Linked DNA regions of Xenopus tropicalis. The protein of the gene in region 1 interacts with the protein of each later gene in a pairwise test. Links are inferred from orthologs where the notes say so. Each region holds a gene or a part of one and is shown on either strand. Other genes may lie near its edges. The genes, in order: aamp and aen.

Region 1 (5,708 bases):
GATTTATTGCAAGTTAAGAGGAACTGTTCCTGAGTAGTGATTTCCCAGGATTTCTAATCTCCCCTGTAGAGATCACAGCATCGCCCTGTGTCCCAATCCTCAGAAGACGATGGAAGGAGCCGGAGCCGGGGAGGCTGGAGGTTCTGGGTCTCCCAGCCCTGAGGCCGAAGAAGCCCAGGCGCAAGCTGCACAGTTTCACGAGGATGAGGAGATCATTGAGGTGCTGGAGCTGAACGACGTAGAACCAGATCCAGGTATCTCTGATTGATTCGTATTCCTTGAAACCCCCCCTACGTATCCAGATACTGCGCAGAGTTCCAGCCGTGCCCATTATGTTTGGCATAGGCGCACAATTTTGGGTGAACCCTGTACCTTGTGACTTTTATATAAAGTAGTAGATGCACCAAATCCATTATTTTTGGGTTTGGCTGAATCCTTTTTGAAAGATTTGTCCAAATATCGTACCGAATCCTAAGCTGCAAGGATTTGGGTTTGGCCAGACACCTGCATTCGGCCAAATCAGAATCCTGCTGAAAAAGGCAGAATCTTTGCCAAAACCTGAACCAAATCCTGGATTCGCTGTCTCCTTAATATGAAGACACACAATGTATTGCACACTATTAATGCAAGCAACAAGGGTCTTTGGTTTCCTTTCTGTGTGGACCATACCATGCTCTTAGATTGGGAGAGGGGAATAAAGTGGTAACTATTAAACTATTTTTACAAATAGACTGGGCGTTATAAGAACCCCCAAGCCAGCTCCTGGTGTGTCTGGTTCTGACAACCCAGCTGTGACACTACATGGGCAAACGTATCTACACCTGCTTGTCCCACATTAAATTCCTAAACCAAGAGCATTAATATGAAGTTGCCCCTTTGCTGCTATAACTGCCCCTACCCTTCTGGGAAGGTTCCCACTAGATGTTGGAACAGTGTTGCTGGGAGTTGCTCCCATTCAGCCACAAGAGCATTAGTGAGGTTGGGCACTGATGTTGGGGATCAGGCTCACAGTCGGGGTTCCATTCCACAGGGGTTCAGTTGGGTTGCCCCTCCCCTTGCTGCTATAACTGCCCCTGCCCTTCTGGAAAGGTTCCCACTAGATGTTGGAACAGTGTTGCTGGGAGTTGCTCCCATTAGTGAGGTTGGGCAGTGATGTTGGGGATCAGGCTCACAGTTGGGGTTCCAATTCATCCCACAGGGGTTCAGTTGGGTTGCCCCTCCCATTGCTGCTATAACTGCCCCTGCCCTTCTGGGAAGGTTCCCACTAGATGGTGGAACAGTGTTGCTGGGAGTTGCTCCCATTCAGCCATAAGAGCGTTAGTGAGGTTGGGCAGTAATGTTGGGGATCAGGCCGGGCTCACAGTTTGGGTTCCAAATCAATTGGTTGAGGTCAGAGCTCTGTGCAGTCTGTGTCCTCCACTTGTCCGCAAACCCATTCTATATGGACCTGGCATTGTACATGGGGCATTATTGTTCTGAAACAGGAAAGATTATAATTCTATATGCAGGGTACATGCCTGACCCTTCTTGTAGAAATGTATATGTTGTTATGGAGAGGTTAATGCCCTGCTGACTGTCTGTCTTGCCCAGATGATTTGGCCAGCGACATGGAGGACGTCGACTTTGCAGATGATCCTGAAGATGGGGAAATGGCTGATAATGAGGAATGGGAGACAGAGGATGAGGGAGTGGAAGAAGGAACGGACCCCCATGACGACAGTGAGCTGACATTCTCCAAACATACAGGTGAGACCTGGCAGTGTCCTCTCAAGGGGCAAATAGAGTGCATTATAAGCCAACACAAGGGGGTGCCAATGGTGTATAAAGATAAGCCAAGTCTGTGCTTGTAGTATGACTTGGATCACATCACACAGTCAGGAGCATTGATTGCTGATCCACTTGGTTCCATTTGTTTCAGCCTCTGTGTTCTGCGTCAGCCTGGACCCCAAAGAGAGCGCTCTGGCAGTGACAGGGGGAGAGGACGACAAGGCGTACATATGGCGCCTGAGTGACGGAGAGACTGTGTTTGAGTGCACAGGTAAATGTCATGCTGCTGACTGCAATGCATTTGTCTGCTTTTTTATTTAACTCCCACCCCCCAAGGGGCAACTGTGCAGTCTCATCTGCTTGCCTGCAGGGGTTTCTTCATGACACAGCAGCCAGGGTTGGACTGTGGAAACATACTTGGTATCTTAAAGGGGTTGTTTGCCTTTAAATTAACTGACAATAATTAATTAAGTGACATTCTGAAACTACTTGCAATTAGTTTTTCTAATGTTGTGTTTTTTTTAAATTATTTAGCTTTATATTCAGCAACTCTTCAGTTTGGAATTTTAGAATCTATGTGGTTGTTAGGCTCCAAATTACCCTAGCAACCAGGCAGTGGTTTGCATGAGAAACTGGAATGAAAAGGAGAGGGGCCTGCATAGAAAGATAAGTAATAAAAAGTGTAGTATCACAGAAAGAGGCAGAAGAGAAAGGCAAATAATTCAGAAACAATAAAAGATAAGAAATGAAGACCAATTGAAAAATTGCTAACATTCTATAACAAACTAAGAGTTAACTTAAAGGGGAACCACCTGTTTAGAGCTATAGGAGTGATTGATCTATAAAGGGCAAGTGGCATGAGTTAAATAGGACTTCCCACAGTGTTGGTAAGTGTCTCAGTTACCCTTTCCTGACCAGTGCAGTGATATTCATACATAAATCACGTGACTTTTCATCACATGAACACGGAAGTTGAAATATTTTCACCACGCACTTTACATGTGGTTCTCTTTAACCCCTTCATGGCCTACTTTACATGTGCATCTTAGGATACCTTTTGGTATATAGCTCCAGCCTGCGGACATATAACTGCAGTTCAGGCAATAAAAACAAATGGTTGTAAAAATCACCATTCAAAGTTTCCCTTTTTATTTTCCTCAGGTCACAAGGATTCTGTTACTTGTGCTGTTTTTAGCCACGACTCCACTATGGTGGCCACTGGAGACATGAGTGGCCTGATCAAGGTGTGGAAGGTGGAGGGGGCAGAGGAGATCTGGTCTTTCGAGGTGGGAGATCTAGAGGTAAGGAAATGGAATGGGTCCTTATATCTTGCCTTGCGTCTGCATTGGGATTTGGATTGGATATGCTGGGGGTGTAACTTGGCTTTCCCACCAATAGCAAAGCTGATTTCATCATTCATTTAACCTGAATTACACATCAGCTGTTTCAGTGAGTCTTCAAATTATTGCCCCCTCATTGGGCCTATGGCAATAACTTGCCCTTTTCTCCCTGCTAGTGGCTGGAATGGCACCCCTGTGCCCACGTATTGCTGGCTGGCACAGCTGATGGAAACACCTGGATGTGGAAAATACCCAGTGGCGAGTGTAAGACTTTCCAGGGCCCCAGCTGCCCGGCTACCTGTGGCCAGTTCCTGCCCGATGGTAAGAGCCATAATAAATTCATTTGCAGAGGAACAATAGATAGGTATCTGTTGTTCCTTTCCAAATGGAAGAGATTTTGTTTGCTTATCTCCATTGAGTTCTACCCATAAGGCCACATTTATGTAGCAGTCCTGGAAAATGACAGTGTTGGTATTTGTGTAGGAAGGAAAGCCGTGGTGGGCTATGAAGACGGAAGTGTGCGGATATGGGACCTGAAACAAGGAAATGCTCTTCATGTCCTCAAAGGTAAATAGCATAGTGTCCCTTGCGTTAACATTCTGTTGATGCTGCCCCTTTAAACTTTGGAGTCTTGGGTTAGCGTTGCATCATGACATCAGCAGTCGTCAATGAGTTATGATGTCATAGATCCAGGGTTGGGCACTAAGAGAAGTAGCAATGTGCCATTTCCTGGTGGATTTTATTGTATAAAACTGAATATTTCTATATTGCAGGCACAGATGGACACGCCGGGCCTCTCACGTGTGTCGCCTCTAATAACGATGGCAGCCTCGTACTTACGGGTTCGGTGGACTGTGACACAAAGTTGGTGAACACAGCAACTGGCAAGGTGAGTGGAACCTCCCCAATGCTTCTCACTATGCCCTCTAGCGCTTAGGGGCCCTTGTGCTTGAGGGGGCTCTACTTGCATTATCAGTCTTGCCTAAAACTCCATTGTTTTGGGCTGAATTGCCAATTTTTTTATGTGGTATTGGTAAAGCCATTAGAAAAGAGGGCTCAGGGGTAGTATTAGCAGGGACAGCCGCTTAGGTTTGTCCATCTGCCCATTGTTCAAAATGCAATATAGTATTGTATTCTGAGCAGTTGCTTATTCTGCTTCTTGGATGCCTGACCAGGATTCCAGTGCCTCAGTGTAAAGCTATACATGGGCAAATATTAGCCATAGACTCAGCCCTTCTAGACCGGGTTGGCAGCTTCTCAGCCGCTATCAAATTTTTCTCTACAGGTTGTTGGGGTTTTCAAGACGGAAAGCAACGTGTCCAAGGCCTCAAGACGAGAAGATGGGGAGGCGGAGTCCAACTCAGTGGAGTCTTTAGGCTTCTGCAATGTGTAGGTGGTGGGGTTACAGGGCAAAGGAACTTTAAGAGTTGAATTGATAACCCATGCAGAATGTTTAGTTCCCCTTTAAGTTCAGAGGGAAAGCTAATTTTTACTGCCAACAATATACAAAATGCCAGTAATATGAGGATACTGCACAAGTCTAGTTTTGTTATCACATAGAGGGGGTTTCACCACTAGAGGGGGCACTTGTTTCATTCATTTGACTCAGTGAATCACTATGGAAGCACTTTCCATAGTGGGGATGGGGCTATAATTTCTGTGCTTGCTTTTCCTTACTGTATGATTCATGTCTTTCCCTATTCCTTGTTTCCTTGTGTATAGCCTTCCCCTGGCTGCTGTTGGTTATCTAGATGGCACCTTGGCTGTATATGACCTCTCCTCTCAAAGTCTGAGACACCGGTGCCAGCATGAGGTAAGTACCAGGTCTATTACAATGTCACTTTCTACTCCATAGTCGCTATATAGGGTAGGATATCACTCATTGTTGCCCAGACCATTCTTTCTGTGTATATTTGTATTTATACATATGGGTAGGAGGTGCCATAGTGTTTCCCTTAGACAGTACAGTATGGGGGTACAGCTTATTGTGTGCCCAGAACATTCCTTCTCTGTATATTTGTATTTATACATATGGGTAGGGGGTGCCATAGTGTTTCCCTTAGACAGTACAGTATGGGGGTACAGCTTATTGTGTGCCCAGAACATTCCTTCTCTGTATATTTGTATTTATACATATGGGTAGGGGGTGCCATAGTGTTTCCCTTAGACAGTACAGTATGGGGATACAGCTTATTGTGTGCCCAGAACATTCCTTCTCTGTATATTTGTATTTATACATATGGGTAGGAGGTGCCATAGTGTTAGACTGTACAGTATTTTACATATCTCTTTTGTCTATACAGTCAGGAATTGTACAACTCCTATGGGAGCAGAACTCGCCTGTGGTGTACACCTGTAGCTTGGATGGAGCCGTCAGATTATGGGACTCCCGTTCTGGCAAAATGATTAGCGAATACTGTGGGCACACTGCTGAAATTCTCGACTTTGCTCTGAACAAGTGAGTAGATAAGTGAGAACTGCTGCTTACAATGGGGGGGATCAGATAGGATCTGTGCCACTGTGACAGAATGCTCTGTTATACAGATAGCTAGAATCTCAGCCATAAAGCAGGGCAGGACTGCTGCTTACAATGGGGGGGGA
Region 2 (7,158 bases), on another chromosome or scaffold:
ATAAATTTGATAGCACTTGGCACTTTTTTTTTTTTTGCATTGGATGTATTCAGGCTTGTCATTGGGTTGTGATTCATTCTCTTAGGCTTTTGCAGTCACAGAAGCCTTGAACCAACCAACTCAAATATGGTTTCCCTGGAGATGGAAGCAGCTAGCAATTTGTCCTGTAGCTCCAGTGGATCTAGTGAATTTCTCAACTCCAGTAACGCAGAGATCTATACAAAGTGTCAGAGAAGAGTCCAAAATCGAAGGAAGACACGAAGGCATCAACGCTTCTTAAAGCGCAAAGCTTTCCTGCAACAGAGGAGACTCCTAAATATCCCTGAAACAGGAACTCAAGAGGTGCTAAAAGGAAAAACCAAATGTTCAGTCAATGGAAATGACCAATGTTTCTGTGAACAGATTGCGGACATGGAAATGGGTAGCCAGATAAAAACTCTGCTGGGCACATTGCCAGTGGCGCCTGGCTCTTCCATTACTGCAAATAAACCATCCACATTCGATTATGATGATAGTGGCCTCTCTGTGGCAGGCAGCTCCAGCTCCAGCAGAGCATCCTCCCCCCTTTCTTGGTTAAAGCCTGGGAAGTGTGTTGCTATCGACTGTGAAATGGTTGGAACTGGACCTGGGGGAAAGATCAGTGAGCTGGCTCGGTGCAGCATAGTGAATTACAGAGGAGATGTTGTATATGACAAGTACATTAAACCTGAGCTACCAATCGCAGACTACAGGACGCGATGGAGTGGGATCACTAAACACAGCTTGAAAAATGCAATTTTCTTTAAAACTGCCCAGAAAGAGGTAACTTAGCACGTCGCTGTATCCTGGTTGTGATGTGTAGATGCCAAGTTTAATGGGCAATAGACCGTTTATTTGTAAAATTATTGTCCCTGTTAGTTGCAATTTATTTACAGTGAAAGAGTCATAATTTAAAAAAAAAAAAAAAAAAAATATATATATATACATATAATATATATCAATCCAAATGGTGTCCGCACTCCAAGGCTCAATATTCTGCGGGGTGCTTAGCCAAAATTATGTATGCATAGAAAATAATCATCTGTGGCCAGCACACCCTTCAATGTTTCATCAAAAAAATTTTTATTGTAGATATATTGTTAAAACCAACGTTTCAGTCCTTGTTAGGACCTTTCTCAAGGATAAAATCCTTTTATCCTTGAGAAAGGTCCTAACAAGGACCGAAACGTTGGTTTTAACAATATATCTACAATAAAAAAAATTTTGATGAAACATTGAAGGGTGTGCTGGCCACAGATGATTATTTTCTATATATATATATATATATATATATATATATCTCCACACACTCTCTATCTATATTGGGATTTATCACCATAAGGGGCATACACAGATTGCCATCTCCCTTCAGTATTTGCATTTAAACAAATAACTTATTGTTGGCATGTTCTTTGAGTCAGATGTGAGGCATTCACCATAGATTACAACCACAAGAAGCACTATTTATATGACCATTGGAAGTTTTACTGTTGACACTGTTGTATAGAGATTATGAATCTGTTAAGAAGCAATAGGGAGCCCCATTTTTATTTGTGAATGTAAATCTGTTGAGGGAATCCTAAGTGCTGGCATCGGCCTATTCTTGCAAGATGATATATCATTGCACTTTAAAGGAATGTAAAATACTATAAATAGTACACAAGTTTCTCTTAGGGATTATGTTTCACAGCTGAAGTGCAATATACCCTGTTAGAACCCACCTTCCATTTTACCCAAAATAGATACCACTACCCAGTAGGCAAGTGCCTGCATGTGTGTTCCCCAACAGTCCCCACGTATCTGTAGCAGCAGCAGCATCTGGCATAGACAATAGGTTTAACATAAATGGAAAACTGCTTTTAGCAATAATGATTGCAGTAAATAACTGTGGAGATCTAAACCACCCCTGCACTATGGGCCTTAGTACTATGTTGCACAGGTGGTCCATCATGTCCAAATAGGCACTTATTACCAGTATTTTTATGGTACCCTTGTTTTGTGGACAACAGCTGTCCAACTACAAGCTTGCAGGCCAAATGGGGACTCCTCCACAATATTATGGCCCTTATCCTGCATAAGCAGTCTTATGACCTCTGTATTTAACATTACACTTTTATTGTAGTTAATTTATTTAAAGGGGTGATTTATTTTTAGGATGTTATAGAATGGCCGAGAAATTAATGAAATTTAATTGACCATTCATGTCCATGAACAGGAAGTGCTCCAGCTGCCATTTAAGGAGCACTGGTGTCCTCCATAGGACTCAATGGTTCTCGGCAGCTTAAACCTGGCATACTTTTTGTCAGTCTAAAAGAAGTCGCATAAATTTTATAAATCTTGAAAGTTTGTTCATGTCTCAGATTTTTCTAGCAAATACCCCGAATTTTCTAATTTTTTTTCAAGAAAAAAATTAAACGTATACTGCCAAAAAACATACGTAAATCTCAAAAGAAAGATAAACAAAAAAATTTGAACTTTTCTCAGAAAACCTTAGTAAATGGGCCCCTTTATGCCCTAAATCAATGGGGAGAATATTTTAAAAATAAATATAAGCTATATACATTTTTTATAACTTCTTGATGTTGCATCTGTTTGTCCTTCATTTTCTTACTTCCATTGTATCTAAAATACATACATACATCATAGACTCCTTTTCCTGTAAGGCAGAAATTGTGTTAAGTCGGCCTTGTATCATAGACCATTCATGTGCCAGCTAATGGGTTATACTAATGCAATTTGGCTTCGATATTAATAATCCCAGCATTTTTTGTGGCATTATCAGCATTTCAGCGCCACATTTAGTGAGCTGCTTCCAAGCTCAAATTGTTTGAAAGGCAAAAAGGCTTTTCTACCTTATCATGTTATATGCAATTTGTGGTAATCTCTAACTTGCAATTGTAGATTCTGAAGATACTTAAGGACAAACGAGTGGTTGGACATGCACTGCACAACGACTTCAGGGCTCTGAAATACTTCCATCCTCACTCCCAGATTCGAGACACCAGTAAAATCTCTTTATTAAAAAAAAACGCAGGACTTCCAGAAAAAGCTGGCGTCTCTTTAAAAACTCTTGCATTGAACTTGTTGGGCAAAAGAATACAGGTAAAAACCACAACTGAGTATTTACACTGCTGGGTAGCTACAACTATGTTAAGGAGGCAGTTTCCTATTAAGTGCGGCTGCAAGTGGAAGGAGTTACAGGAAACTTTCAAGAAATATACCACTTTCTCCCAGTAACTGCAAATTTCAGGGGCACTATAAGACATTTATATGTTTTCTCTGCACAGCTGTAAAAAAATTCAGTGTAGTTATGCTTTCATTTAGACCCCTATTTAGTTGACCAGTCTGCCTTCTAGCATCTTGCTGGGTGGTTTTAAAGCAATAGTAGGCATTTATGCATGTCTTAAGCCAGCAACATCTTCATTTTAAGCTTGCATTGAATTGAACTGTTGGTATTTGTCTTGTCCCTGCCTCAGGTTGGCAGAAATGGCCATTCTTCTGTAGAAGATGCCCTGGCCTCCTTGGAGTTGTACAAATTGGTTGAGGATCAATGGGAGGAGGAGCTTTGCAGTCACTTCCAACTCGAGACTTCCACTAGTGCAGAAACAAGCGGGGTCTCTGATAATGACCATTACATGGACGATCGCTACTGGCCAGCAGACTTAAATGATGACTCTAAATGAAGCACCACTTCAAGATGAATAAACTGTTTTACCAATGTGCAATAAACCTATTTATTGTGGATCTGAGATACAGTACAGAGATGGGATCTATTTTCTGGAAACCCGATATCCCGATTCCAGCAATGCCATTTCTCATTAAAGTTGTACAGTTTAATGTTAAATAAGGCAGAATAATTTAGCAGTGCATTAAGGCATGCTCTGTTACAGAAGGGATCACTTATCTTGAAAACCTCTTACGGATAATAGGTCCCATTTCTGTACTGTCAAATAAAATTACGGTTTGCATTCAGCTGACCTGCATTCTAGTTATATTAACTTTCAAGCATTTTAAAACTTGAACCTGCTGGATCACTTTTTTCCTGCAAAACTTGCAATATATATAAACCTTTATATAGATGCACCTTTCCCTTTATGATGTACAGACTTTACATACCATTATAGTACATGATCTGAGCAATGTCTCTTGTTTTAAAGCTCAATCAAACCGATAAATACCTGTGGTAAGTTTACTAAAACCTAATGTTATAAGACCACATCGTTTGTCTTGTGAAATTAATTTGTAAAGTGTTTAATTCTAGATTGCAACTGTTTAGTGAGTTTTAAACTCGATGGATATATATTTTTGTAATAGGGTTAATTGTATTTTCATTGTGAAATATCCAGGCTCACATTGAAAAATATAAAAAGTCCTAACAGTCCTAATCAGTAGAATATTTTCGGTATCTTAAACAGCTACACAAACAAGGCATTATGGTGTATATTCTGGAATTCTCCCTTTGCATCCTTTCCCAAGACATACTGTAGCTTTTGTCATTTAACTCCTTAGCGATGTATATGAGCAGTTTGTAGTAAAAAGTTCATACTGTTTTTAGAAACATAAACCAGTGTTTTCTCCCCAATATAAATAAGATGCCCACTCCTTGCTTATGAAATGCAGCACACTTGTGAAACTGTAACTGAATACATCTCGGAAAGATGATGTTTCACAAACATGGCGGCATACCAAACTATAGTAATACGGTGTGTAGAAGAAATTATTACAAACCCGTAAAAATAATTGTTAACTCTGTGAGCATGTAGTAACAGGCATTGAGAGTAACTAGAATAATACAACATTGGCTAATTGGCTTAATTCATAGCTAAACCTAACTGGATAAATAATCTATACACAGTTAAAATATTACAGTATACCTAACCAGTAGCATTAAGTATGTACTCAGATCACCCACCGAAAAAGGAAAGGGCACAGTCTACTTATCCCCAAAACTTTAGTACATCCTACTTGGAGCTTTGTTTTGTCTCTGTCTCAAATTATTATAAATTAACTTTTTTCCCTACGTTGCAACTGGGTCACTCATTCTTTTATTTGGCAGTAGTGCTTTTCATGTGGTTCTTTCTAAGTATTGGCTTCTCTTATGCCACTCTTCTGTTCAGTCCAATATTTCCCAGATCTCGCAGTACGGTTGATGTATACCTACAGTGAAGTATGGTAATGGAAAAATAATACTGTGGGTGGGAATGCACCTAATCCACTATTTTGAGATTTGGGCAAACCCTAATTTGCATATGCAAATGAAAATTAGGGCACAGAAGAAAAAAAAATCCAACTTTTACATTCAAGTGATGAAAAGTGACATGAATTTAAGGATTTGGTCAAGCTAGGCAATTAGATTCGGGCAAATCTGAATTGTGTGAGAAAGGCCAAATCCCAAACTGAACCCTAGATTTGGTGCATCCCTAACTGAGGCTATATTTTATCAACAGTGAATGGATTTTTGTACAAACAGAGAAATACTGCAGGAGAACGGGTTTCAGTTCATAATTAGTGGGACAGTTATATTTGACAGTTACATTTAAAAAAAAAAAAAATGCTAAAATAGACAGTATGGGAGATGGCCTTTTCCTAATTCTGAGATTTCTAGATAATTGGTTTCTTTATAAGGGATCCCATACTGGTGCACAACTGTCATCTGACTTCCCCGAACAGCAGTGAGCAAACCTTCCTGGAAGAATAGACCAAAACACTCTGAGCTATGTGGAAAGCTAGCAAATACCACAAACTACGTCAAGCATAACTAAAACCTTTTTAAAAGCCTGGGCCCCCTCTGGAGGCCTCCCTACCAAACTGCAGCACTGCAGACCCCCAATAGTTTCATTTGCTGTACTTGGTAGCACAGCAGGTTTGGGAGACTCTATCTTGCTCTGCTTAAAGCAAAACTATACCCCCCCAAACAATATAGGTCTCTATAAAAATATATTGCTTAAATTAGCTCTGTTTAGATGAAGCAGGGATTCACATTTAACAATTTTTATAAAAATGTTCTTTTTTTAGTAGTATGTGCCATTGGGTAATTCTAAACAGAAAATTGCCATTTTAAGAATTAAAGGAGAAGTAAAGGTAAAAACTAAGTAAGCCTTATCAGAAAGGTCTATGTAAATACAGCCATAAACACTCACAGAAACGCTGCTCTGACCTTAGTGAAAAGAAACAAGACCTCCACCACATTTCTTTCCTTTCATTCTGTATACATACTGTACATGATCTGTGTCAGACTTCCTGCTCTCAGAAAAATCCTTCAGGGCACAATATGAGTCTGCTCGGTTTGCTGCTCTCTCCCACTCCCTTCTGGTCTTTTCCCCCTCCCCTTTCTGCTGTAATCTGAGCTACCAGCAGCATGGAAGCTATTGAGACCAAGCTAAAATGGCAGCTGCTATCTTAAACAAAGAGGGATTTTCAATGGCGTTCTAGCTTGCACTAATCTGTTGACAATAAAATGCCACAATACCTTTCCTTCTCCTTTAAGCACTGCCCCCCTGGAGCATGAAACAAACCAACTCCCACACTTCTTCCTTTTACAGTTAGAGCTGCATTATTTCTGGCCATAGGATTTTTCGGGGATAGCACACAGCCCATCACTAAATGGTGGATCAAAGGAAAGGATGTAAAAGGTCAATAATTATTACTACTATTAATTACTTATATACTGTGTATATATATATATATATATATATATATAGTTTAATAGGGGACTTAACATGATATAATCTGTTGGTTAAGTATTCATTCTGGGGATAAAATTTACCTTTTACTGATTAAAGGGATGTCACTTAATAAGCATGCATAGTTAAAGGCGGTCTATACCTGACTTCAACCACACGCACCCAAAGTTGTTGTAAAGGGAGCATCAAGCGGGACCAGATGGCGCCTGCCATAGGCGCATGTCTTTTAGACTGTGAACTCTAATGAGCAGGATACTTTTTACCTTAGCTTTCTGTCAGTATTTGTATGTATAGTTGATGTTTACACCCTTCTATTGTAAAGCTCTGTGCTTTTTAATAATAACACAGCGGAGTTCCAGGGAACTTTCTATCATGAAATAATATCCAATTATTCAAAAATACTTAGTACCCAGCTGGTGAATAAAAATACGATTAGTGCAAAATAGTGCGATTGTCT

What was found.
Region 2: the proteins of aamp (region 1) and aen interact in binary tests that used the Homo sapiens proteins (3 or more experiments, as listed by UniProt). The link is inferred for Xenopus tropicalis from reciprocal best matches to the Homo sapiens genes AAMP and AEN.

The regions. Positions count from the first base shown.
Region 1 is NC_030685.2:85,165,055-85,170,762, forward strand, and holds part of aamp (angio-associated migratory cell protein), read left to right. Parts: intron 1-69; 5' UTR 70-109; coding exon 110-254; intron 255-1,590; coding exon 1,591-1,746; intron 1,747-1,918; coding exon 1,919-2,038; intron 2,039-2,928; coding exon 2,929-3,068; intron 3,069-3,283; coding exon 3,284-3,428; intron 3,429-3,590; coding exon 3,591-3,674; intron 3,675-3,880; coding exon 3,881-3,996; intron 3,997-4,392; coding exon 4,393-4,496; intron 4,497-4,829; coding exon 4,830-4,920; intron 4,921-5,410; coding exon 5,411-5,565; intron 5,566-5,708. UniProt on the Homo sapiens protein: Plays a role in angiogenesis and cell migration. In smooth muscle cell migration, may act through the RhoA pathway.
Region 2 is NC_030679.2:110,015,962-110,023,119, reverse strand, and holds the end of aen (apoptosis-enhancing nuclease), read left to right. Parts: intron 1-85; exon of another isoform or gene 86-95; 5' UTR 96-126; coding exon 127-801; intron 802-2,919; coding exon 2,920-3,120; intron 3,121-3,494; coding exon 3,495-3,701; 3' UTR 3,702-5,038; downstream 5,039-7,158. UniProt on the Homo sapiens protein: Exonuclease with activity against single- and double-stranded DNA and RNA. Mediates p53-induced apoptosis.